Drosophila melanogaster: one gene and its partner. The protein of the gene in region 1 purifies or fractionates together with the protein of each later gene. This does not show direct contact. Each region holds a gene or a part of one and is shown in the gene's direction. Other genes may lie near its edges.

Evidence for each region. Proteins that work in one complex are often made in the same cells at the same time.
Region 2: the proteins of magu (region 1) and dally purify together in Drosophila melanogaster (affinity purification with western blotting, with the first as the bait; one study listed by BioGRID). This does not show direct contact.

Annotation. Positions count from the first base shown.
Region 1 is NT_033778.4:10,050,605-10,055,587, forward strand, and holds the start of magu (magu), read left to right. Parts: upstream 1-1,936; 5' UTR 1,937-2,031; exon of another isoform or gene 2,032-2,391; intron 2,392-2,490; exon of another isoform or gene 2,491-2,789; intron 2,790-3,573; exon of another isoform or gene 3,574-3,684; coding exon of another isoform or gene 3,685-3,963; exon of another isoform or gene 3,964-3,972; intron 3,973-4,983. Other genes in the region: COX7CL (cytochrome c oxidase subunit 7C-like), read left to right, coding at 18-145, 202-214; sel (seele), read right to left, coding at 419-735, 930-1,097, 1,198-1,282; Def (defensin), read right to left, coding at 3,685-3,963.
Region 2 is NT_037436.4:8,825,764-8,830,508, forward strand, and holds the start of dally (division abnormally delayed), read left to right. Parts: upstream 1-1,741; 5' UTR 1,742-2,469; coding exon 2,470-2,740; intron 2,741-4,745. UniProt on the Drosophila melanogaster protein: Cell surface proteoglycan that bears heparan sulfate. Functions as a coreceptor for growth factors and morphogens, such as the products of dpp, to regulate signaling and distribution of these ligands.

The DNA of each region.
Region 1 (4,983 bases):
TACAATTTCCCTCACAGAACTTACCCTTTGGCTTGGATAGTCCAATGCGTTTCACACTATTTTACCTAATTGCGGGAGTCGTGGGCTTTGGGGCTCCGTTCCTAGTTATTCGCCATCAGATGCTTCGTAATGTAACCAATGATCCGTAAGTAATCCGAGTAATCCAATAAAATCGTATCGTTATTAATGTTTGCTTTACAGCAAGGATGAGTAATCCCAAAATGACATAGAACACTCGTTAATAAATTAATAAAAATACATTGCACATGGAATTTATTGTCGTACATAATTTGTAACACTTGGCATGGTTTTCTTTACATTAGCTAAACATAATTTTCGTTCGAAATATCAGTACAAAGACCTCCACTGGCGGCGATCAAGGAAATTCGTTAATTAACTAAGCTTTCACTGGGACAAACTACAGTTCCTCTTTGCCATCAAAGTCATACTCCTCCTGGACCGGCGATTCGTCGCAGTAGCTCGCTTGTTCTGAGCAGATCTTGATGTCTAAATCGTTTCCGAGCTCTTCGGCCTGGAAGGCTTTAACGAAGATCTCATCGTTGTCCTCCAGTACTTCGTTGCAGAAGTGCCCCAGGCTTTTGTTGAGATCACCATCTTGCACAAAGTCAACCAACGAGGAGTCTGGGTTCATCTGACCATTGATGATCATCTTGAGGAGTGTGAATTTCCCGTTGCTCTTGTAGGTTGCCTTCAAGTAGTCGTCCATTTTTTCGCCTTAGAACGGGAAAATATTAGGAATGATAAGCAAAGTGTTATCATTAATAGAATACCACATATAACTATCTTCATTGATAAACAATAGCTACGCTCGAAGGTAAAACTTTTGACTAACGTCAAATGTTTTAAGATTAGACTGGTCTTTATCAAGCCTCTATGCTATTCCGTACCATATGGTAATAATTACTTACAGATCTTCTCCATCAGTTCGGTAAGGAACATTTCAGATTTCACTAGGCGAACTTTCTTGCTGATCGAATTTCCCTGTGCGTCCAGCCGGAATCCACTGACATCGGCCATCTTGTGGGGGTCCTCCTTGGCAATGGCCTCCTCCAGTTCCGTAACCACGGCCTTGCACACTGTAATTTATGGAACCTCAATTATCCGGGCTCCCAGGGCCAGCCAACAAGTGCACTGCCGCCTGTTGCTGGCGCGCTGTTATGTGTGGATTCTCCTTACCGTGACACTTGACCTCGCGGGAGGTGAAGCTGTAACCTTGGGCCAAGGCCAGCAGGCCGAACAGGATAAGCGCCTTCGTCAGCATCTTTTTAATTGATTGTTTAATAGTTTAACGCGTGGAAACTAATTGCATTAACCACGTCAGCAGAAGCGCCTTCCGTTTAAAAGTGCGGCGTTGATAAAGACGTGTGCTGTATTTACGACGACTTAAGAGCGACGTGGTTCTTGATGCTCTGCAGCGATAAGTGAAGAATTCTACTTAATTTATGCCCAAGATGTGGTGACGAGGGACGCGGTCAGTGGGTCTGGGTCAGCGTTCACAAGAATTGTGGTAAACGTTTTAAAGAAACCTTATTGATAATACCCGGCTATCGATAGAACTTTTCTAGCTAACGCCAGTTTTGGCTATCAAATATTTTTAAGGTGACCATCTCTACCTATTTTAAGCTAAAAATGAAATATGTGTACTTGTCGTTAAGAGATTTAATTTGATGATTCACATAAAATGATGTCGTTTAACATTTGTAAATCGTTTGAACAAAAAAAATATCGATAGTCAAGTGCGCGCGTTAATTCAAATCTTGATCGTAGCACGATGCACGTTGAAATGTTTAAGTTTGGGGGAGAGCTGCATTATATACATATGTGCATCTCAATTCTCGTATTCTCTTAGCTCTAGATCGAAAACTTATGTACATTAGCCGATGTGCTACTATATAGTGAGCCGATAACTGAAGAGTCAGTGCAAATGGAGAATCGCTCGCGAGTGGTTGCTCTGTTTTCGGATCGAGATGTGAGGACGAGGGGTTCGCGTAATTAACCGGCAAAGCGTTTGTAAATTAAAAGAAACCCACAAGTCGGCCGCGTTCCTCGATTTCTACATACTCTTATTAACCATTATAATTGGCGTTAATTAAGTGTCGTGTTTCTCTCTCGGCGCGTGTTTCTCTTCCCTATTCCCCTTGTTCGCTTGCACTGATGATCATTTTTCTTGGCGTCTGTTTGTTTGCTCGGTTAATTGATAAGAACGAATTGTAGTCGTCGGACTTGCCGTATTTATAGAGCAATGCCGCAAAAGAAACGGAAATGCAATGCAAATTGTTGCTATACCTTTTAGCGTAGGTTCAATTTTTTGACCCTGCCAAACGGAAAGTGGCATTCGCGGGCTACGAGATAAGCGATCGATGATAATTTATTCAGCTATGAATGAGTTCGAGAAGCACCGCAATCTTAAATAGAAAACACATAGATTTAATGTGGATTTTATTTAAAAATATATAGAAAAATATATATCTCCTTATTAAAATCAAGTGCAACGGCACAAACCTTTAACACAAACACCTTTAAAGCCCTTCTTCGAACAGAGGGAATTGCACCGCTCAATGCAGGACTGTCGCCTTGGGCGGACATGTTCCTTCGCATCCTGGATAAGACTCCTTTGAAGCTCCTTTTGCAGAAGTCTATTCTCGGAATCCTTCGGAATAGATCGAACCTGCATTAAGCAAACCGCAACTAGAGTTAGCGCCAGAATAATCGTGATCTTCATGTTGTGATATGAAATCGAGAACTGTTCCAGCTCGTTCAGGTTGCATTCGTGTTTTATAGTAAATTGAAAGGCTGCCGGTTTATGATAATGAGTATTTTTGTCGTAAGAATAGAAAATATTATTGTTTCTTTTCAAAGTTATGCGGAATAAAGTATATGCGAAAGCTGTTTCCGTTTGTTGCTCAGTTAGAAACTGACTAATTATGCCGTTATATGACATTGTATGTTTGGAAACTACAGCAAAAGCTTTATGTAACCAAATTATATTAAAGTACAACGCAAACAATCGATGGGAGAAATTATACAAATTTAAAAAGAATTTCAAATTTGTATTGCTTTTTTAAGTAAAGTTTACTGAGCTTAATATTTCTTTATTAAAATCTGCCTTGAATCGCCATGAAGACCAATAACTGCTCCCGTTAAGAGCTTTTTTAAACAAAGTAAATATATACGTATATATTTGGTATATATAGATCGTGCTCCTCGGGACCTCAATTTTTTTTTTAGCTCGATTAGGTTTAGTTAACTTATATGGTAAGTCGCTAACGCTAATGACCGATATTTTGTTGTACGAATTGGTAATGATAAACGCAGATTATTTTCACAGACTAAGACTAAGGAACATACACAAGGAATAATTAAGTCGTTCTTCTATGACTTTGAAAGTTATAAAGCCAAAGAAATATAAAATATTTTGAAAATTTTCTGTGATCAATATTTATTATTAAAATAGTAGCTTAACTATTAAGAAATTTTTACAGTCCCAGTTCCTTCTTACCAATTATTTCCATAAAAAGTAATTAGTAATAATTACAAATCATTATAATATTTAAATATCTGTCGATTAAAAGGATCCATTTATATATAGAATTTTTCAACGTTTTGTTTTATGTGTGACACTTAAAAAACGAAAATTTTTGGTGTACACAGAGCGAAACGAAATCAATTGCGGCAAACGCAGACGGCCTTGTCGTTGCAGTAGCCGCCTTTGAACCCCTTGGCAATGCAGTGGCCGGCGCAGGCGGTGTGGTTCCAGTTCCACTTGGAGAGTAGGTCGCATGTGGCTCGCTTCTGGCGGCTATGCTGCAGCACCTCCTGGTGGGCATCCTCATGCACCAGGACATGATCCTCTGGAATTGGATCCACATCGGAAACTGGCTGAGCCTGCGCCACGCAAGCAAGCAGAGCAAAAGCGATAGCCACGAGAACGAAGAACTTCATCTTGGAATACAACTGGAGAGATACTGTTGTTGCAGATTGTGGTTTCGCCGAGCTTATATAGCAATGCGACGGGCTGATCGATTCGGCCCAGGGACTCCCACCCGGTGACTTACCTTCCCATTGTCTCTTTTTCTGTGCAGGAAGACACGTCTCGGGGGTTTTTAATTTTTAAGTTCACTGCAAATGGGAGAAACCGTTGTCTAGATCATTATTTCATGTGCTTTGCCTGGAAAATATTGACAATATTTCATAGATAAGAGCAAAATACAGCCGACAGAGCCCGTTTCTGCAATAAGTTATTTGCATTTCTAGGGATTTTAACTGCCTTAAATTTTAGGCAGTAAAGTATATTCCACATGACAAGTTAATTGTAAAAAGCAACATCTACGAAATTAACCATTTCAAATTGTTTAGGCCTTACTTGAGAAAGAATCTTTGGTTTGCGAAATATGCAGGATATTTGTATATATGCAACGTTGATAAAAGCCTAAGTAAATATGTGCCCTTTAGTAGCATCCAATTTCGATTTTATTACTCCCAAACTGTTGAAATTAGCTGATGTAGGGGAATCCATATTTAATCATCTGAATTTCTAGCTAACTGACCGATTGGGTGCCACTTTAAGGGCTATACTCACAGCTACACAGCTACACAGTTGGCTCAAGCAACTGAGATACTCGGTTACGGATACATAAACACATGCGACAATAAATAATTTCTACCGAAAAGTCTCTTCATAATGCCGGGCAAATAAACAAACAAGAATCACACAATGATTAGTTGGGCATACAGCGGCAGGGGCGGGTGTACTTGTATCTGAATCCGTATCTGCGCGTACGTGTATCTATATCTGTATCGGCATCTGCATCTGGTTCTCAGCCCAGTCGCGCTGAGCCGACAATCCCGATCGAATCCCACGACCGAGGCTTTTTCAGTTGCCCTGCTCCTTGGCTGGCCGTTGCCTGTTTACCTTTGTTATCGACCAGGTTGTCTTGTCTTGCATTTTGGCGTCATACTGTC
Region 2 (4,745 bases), on another chromosome or scaffold:
GTTTCGGTTTCTTTGGGACCTTCGCTCTCATCGATCGTTCCGTAGTGTACATTATAATTTATAACTTTATCTAAACGATGTGGTGGTGTTTAATTTTCGACCTCACCTTTTCCAGCTCGTTTTTGTTTTTTGTTGCCGTTTCGCCATCCCATCACCATCATCATCATCATCATCATCACGGTTGTTTCTGATGTGGATTCGTTTCATTGGAGAACTGTTTCCGCTTCGCATGACTCACTTTTCGCTGTTTGCCCCGGGGTCTTGAGTCTTCTCCTTTTTTTTTTCTTATTTTTTGGGAGGTCTTTCTTTATCGCACACTAATTTGAATAGGATTCCATTTCGTGATGAACATATCACCGGGAACGGAAAACATCCATGGGGGGTGGGAGGGCGTTTGCGCCCAGCTGGACGCCCGCAACTGACCACCATGAAGTTCCCGCTGCCCTGGCTATATAGTATCTTGTTAATGAAGAAATAGATACACAGACGCCCCGAGACGCCTAGGTATTTAAGATCGAGGTCGGTGCCCGCGGGGTGACGAGTGAAAGTCCGGGGAGAAGAGGCTGGTGTGTTCGGGTCGTGCATTGTCTGCCACACCGCTGCAGCCTCAAGACAATCGCTTCGTTTTCGCAAATTGCAAAGGGAAAAAATTAACAAAAGAAAAGAAATGAAGAAAAAAAAACAAACGATACCACCACACGTGCTGTGCGAGGTCATGACACGGCTATCAATTTGAACAGAAACATTTAGCCCTAGGGAAATAGCTGCCAAGCATCTGAGACTCTTCAAAGGCGTGAAATCTGAGCCTGCTCCACGGGTTCATCAAGCCGATCGTAAAACATAGCCTATGAAATAAAATTAGAACTCATTCAGACATCAATTAGAACCGAGCATGCAAATTTCAACCAGCGGCATCGATAAAAGCCCGGATTAAAAGCCACCGGAGCACCCGAGAAGACCACTGTGAGATGGATTGATTTACGTTGAATATGCAAATTGCAGCGAGCCAACGTTGAAAGCTTTTAGAAGAGCATTTCGAGAATTTGAATAAATATTTAGGCCCATCGGACACAGAGAAAAATAATCAGAATCAAGCCAGCTCCTGTGGCAGATGACACGGCCAGGGAAAACTCGAAGTTGGTCCTGAAGAATGCCGGAACCCATAAATAAATGCGAATCACTATTGAAATATATAAAACGAAAACAGGATATGTGTCATATCAAATTTTATGGAACTACGTAGATTCATTGGCTGTCGAAATCGTTTGGCAATCATCGAAGAGAATAGATATCTTACGAAAGCTAAGCTTGCGTTACTAACTTTAATTTCCCCTTTTACTCATACTACATGCTGTTAATAAATACAACATCTTATAAATTGTGGTTGGGCATTCCTTAATTAAAATACTTTATAATATCTAATAAGCATTACAAAGTTTGTGGTTTAGTTCGAAGCTCGTTTTCCAAAACTCTAAAGACTCAAATTAATTAATTCATTTCAGATTGCGCCCTTGTATTACTCATGTATTCTCGGCGTTAACCTGTGAATTAAATTGAGTTCGCATAAACACCTCTATTCATTGCACCACTGTGCCAACATCTGTGCTCGCCGTTCTCTTTTGTTCGAAAGAGAGCGTTCGGATGGTTCTCTTAGCGCCGATTGTCGAGTGCCGAGTGTGGTTCGTGTTCGCATCGTTAAAGTTGTAGCACTCAGGGCGGATGTTTGATTTCGATGGCAAAGTCAATCTGTTCGGGTTTCTCGTCGTGGAAGGTTCGTTGCGCGCGCGGAAAAACTGAAAATATCGGTGCGAAATTCGAGCGGAAAAACGCTAGAAAAGAAGGCGAGTGCATTTCCTCGACCTGAGAACGCCGGTGGCCAAGGAGCTTTGCAATTAAATCTATTTTCGCCGACCTAAGTACACAAAACGTAGGAGAAAATTAAAAAGAAGAAAAAAAAAACAAATCTAATCGCTGGCAAATCAATTGCTAAGGAATTGAGTACTATTCGTTGTTATGTCATGGAAAGTCTCTGAATAAGTTAAGAAAATACTTGTGAGAAATTTAGCGACCTTTCAAAACTAGAAAGTAGAAAAGCAAAAAGTGCTAGACACGCGCTCTCTCTTCGACCACCACCCACCACCACCCACTATCGCCATCCCACGTTTACTACCACGTTTATTGCTCACGCGTGTTTTTGGGGCCTTTTGTTTTGTGCGCTCGTGTTTGTGGCCGTGTGTGCCAGTGTGTGTGTGTGCGTGTTAGCCGGCAAGTGCATTTGTGTGAGTGTGTGTGTTTGTTGCCGCGAACAGCTGTTCACCCAGACAGCATGCAGAAGTAAATACGAAGAAGTGCTGCAAAATAGAGTAAATAAAATAACCGGCTAAAATAAAAATAAGAGAAGCATTCAAAGGCAAATCAAATTTAGCCCCATCATCCACTGTGTCTGCACACAGAAATCACCCATCAAAAATGGCGGCCAGGAGCGTGCGGCTAGCGCAGCTTTTGCTATTTACCCTGCTCTGCGGCTTCGTCGGCCTGTCAGCCGCCAAGCACCTGGACCTGGATGGTATCCACCACCACCAGCACCACCTGCACAGCGCCACCACGCACCACAGACGTCGCCTACAGCGGGACTCGCGGGCGAAGGACGCCGTTGGGGGATCGACCCACCAGTGTGATGCCGTCAAGAGCTACTTCGAATCGATCGACATCAAGTCGAGTGGGACTTACAGCGAAAAAGGTAAAGTTCACGCCATCCATCCGTAGAGTTATAATATCGAGTATGCACTTGGACATGCGGGCTGGGGAAGAAGCGGGGAACGATGGAGGAAGTTAAAGCTACCAATATGGTTAAGGCCCCTTAGGAGCAAACGTACTAACTTTAAACTATGCAGAGGAAAACGTATGTTATTTCCCCAGGTCACTAGAGTGGTTCGAATACTTAAAGTCTAAGTTATCTACTCCATTAAATAAGAAAGAGGTACATAAATTGGGATTATTGATAATGGTTTTTCAATTTAATTACTTTTGCATCCTCTCCGTTTAAAAACATTTCTTTTGCGGGAAATTCATTGCCTTGATTTCAGAGTTTGTCTTAACCCTCGCCTCGCCATCAGTCTTCCATACTTCAACCAAGTAAATCGCGCGTCAGCCAAAGTTTTTGCCATCCCGCAGCTGCAGTTTCTCTTATTTCTAGTCCGTTCTAGACCCCATCCGCTTCTCAATCCCCGCCAGAAACTAGAAGCATATGCAAATTCATTGAACTGAGTGAAACCCTCGAGCGGGCAGCCACTCGAGGCGAACTATGACCACTCGAACAGCCGGGCGCCGTTTGCAATTAGAAGATTGCGCATTGAGCAACGCCTCGGAAAAGTTTTCGACGTGCCGTGGATAAAGTTTTTGGCCGCGCCAGGTTCATTACATATCGGATCTGGCACCTCGCAGATGCAGAGATACATAGATACACAGGCGGCGGCATCATTTGTTATTCTGATTTCTCGACACTGCCATATCAAGTGGCACGCATCTGAGGCCAAACTGTGTGAAGGCTATGGAAGGTATATTTATATTTACCACAGCCGATATCCACAAGATACTCGACATATTTTTGTTTATGCATATTTCATACCCGAAGTCAAAAATAAGACCGAATAACCAAATAATGCAATACAATCCGATAATATCAGTCGAAAACGAGCGAATGTACCCAATATATATCTGTTTCGTGTAATTGAGTGAAAAATAATTATTATTGATTAGCCGACCTTGACTTGGTATTTACGCGTTTACGCACAATTACATGATACACAGCCGCAAACTCGACTGGAATACAAATGTATCTGGCGATGATGTTGCAACTTTTCCCTCCAATGCTTACCTGTCTGCAGAGGTTCTCGGTTCTCTTTGCTCATTCTGTTCAGTCGTTCCCACACGCAGGTAGTTAACGCCAAGAAGAACTATCTATGAGATACATTGCTGAGCAGACCGCATTGCCATGGCATCAAAGTGTGAAGAACCGAATAGCCAACCGAGAGTTGGCGTTACAAGTGCATGTTTGTGTGTCCCAGAGACTTATCCACCTGAATGCCAGAATGCCCAATTGAACTGGTAGCTGGAAGTTATTAGCGCTGGCTTTGAGGAATTTCAATTTGGCTAATGCCAGGCGGCGTATCTCCGATCAGCACCTATGTATGTATCTCTGTATCTCTGGTCGTTGCTCCTGCTTAAGTATGCCGAACCTTGTTTTCGACATTTATTTACTGTTTACATAGTTCCACTTGCGCCTGCCTCCGCCTCCGTAGAATTTATGCCCCGCCAATGTATCTATGTATATCTGTTAATGTATCTGTATCCGTACAGTACGTATCCGTATCTCCATCTATATCTCTTTCTGTTTGCTCTGGAGTGTGTTACTTTTACGTTTATGTGCTGTTTGTGATGCTAATCTCTCGTCGGTGCCATGCATACGATATGTTTCTCCCGATTTGCTTTTGCCGTGCAGTTCCCGGTAGAGGCGCTCGGCATAAAACTAAATTTTAATTTAATTGCGCACACCACTCGACTGCTAATTGAGTTGGCTTTGCTTTTGGGCCAAAAAAAAAAAACAGTATTACTCCGTGCCTATTAAAATGAACATTAACATTGGCGCGTTACAAAGACGCACAGGAAGTCGTAGCTGCAGTATCTAATCGTATCGCACAGTATCTGTATCTGTTTACCTGCAAGTATCTGTAGTATCTGTATCT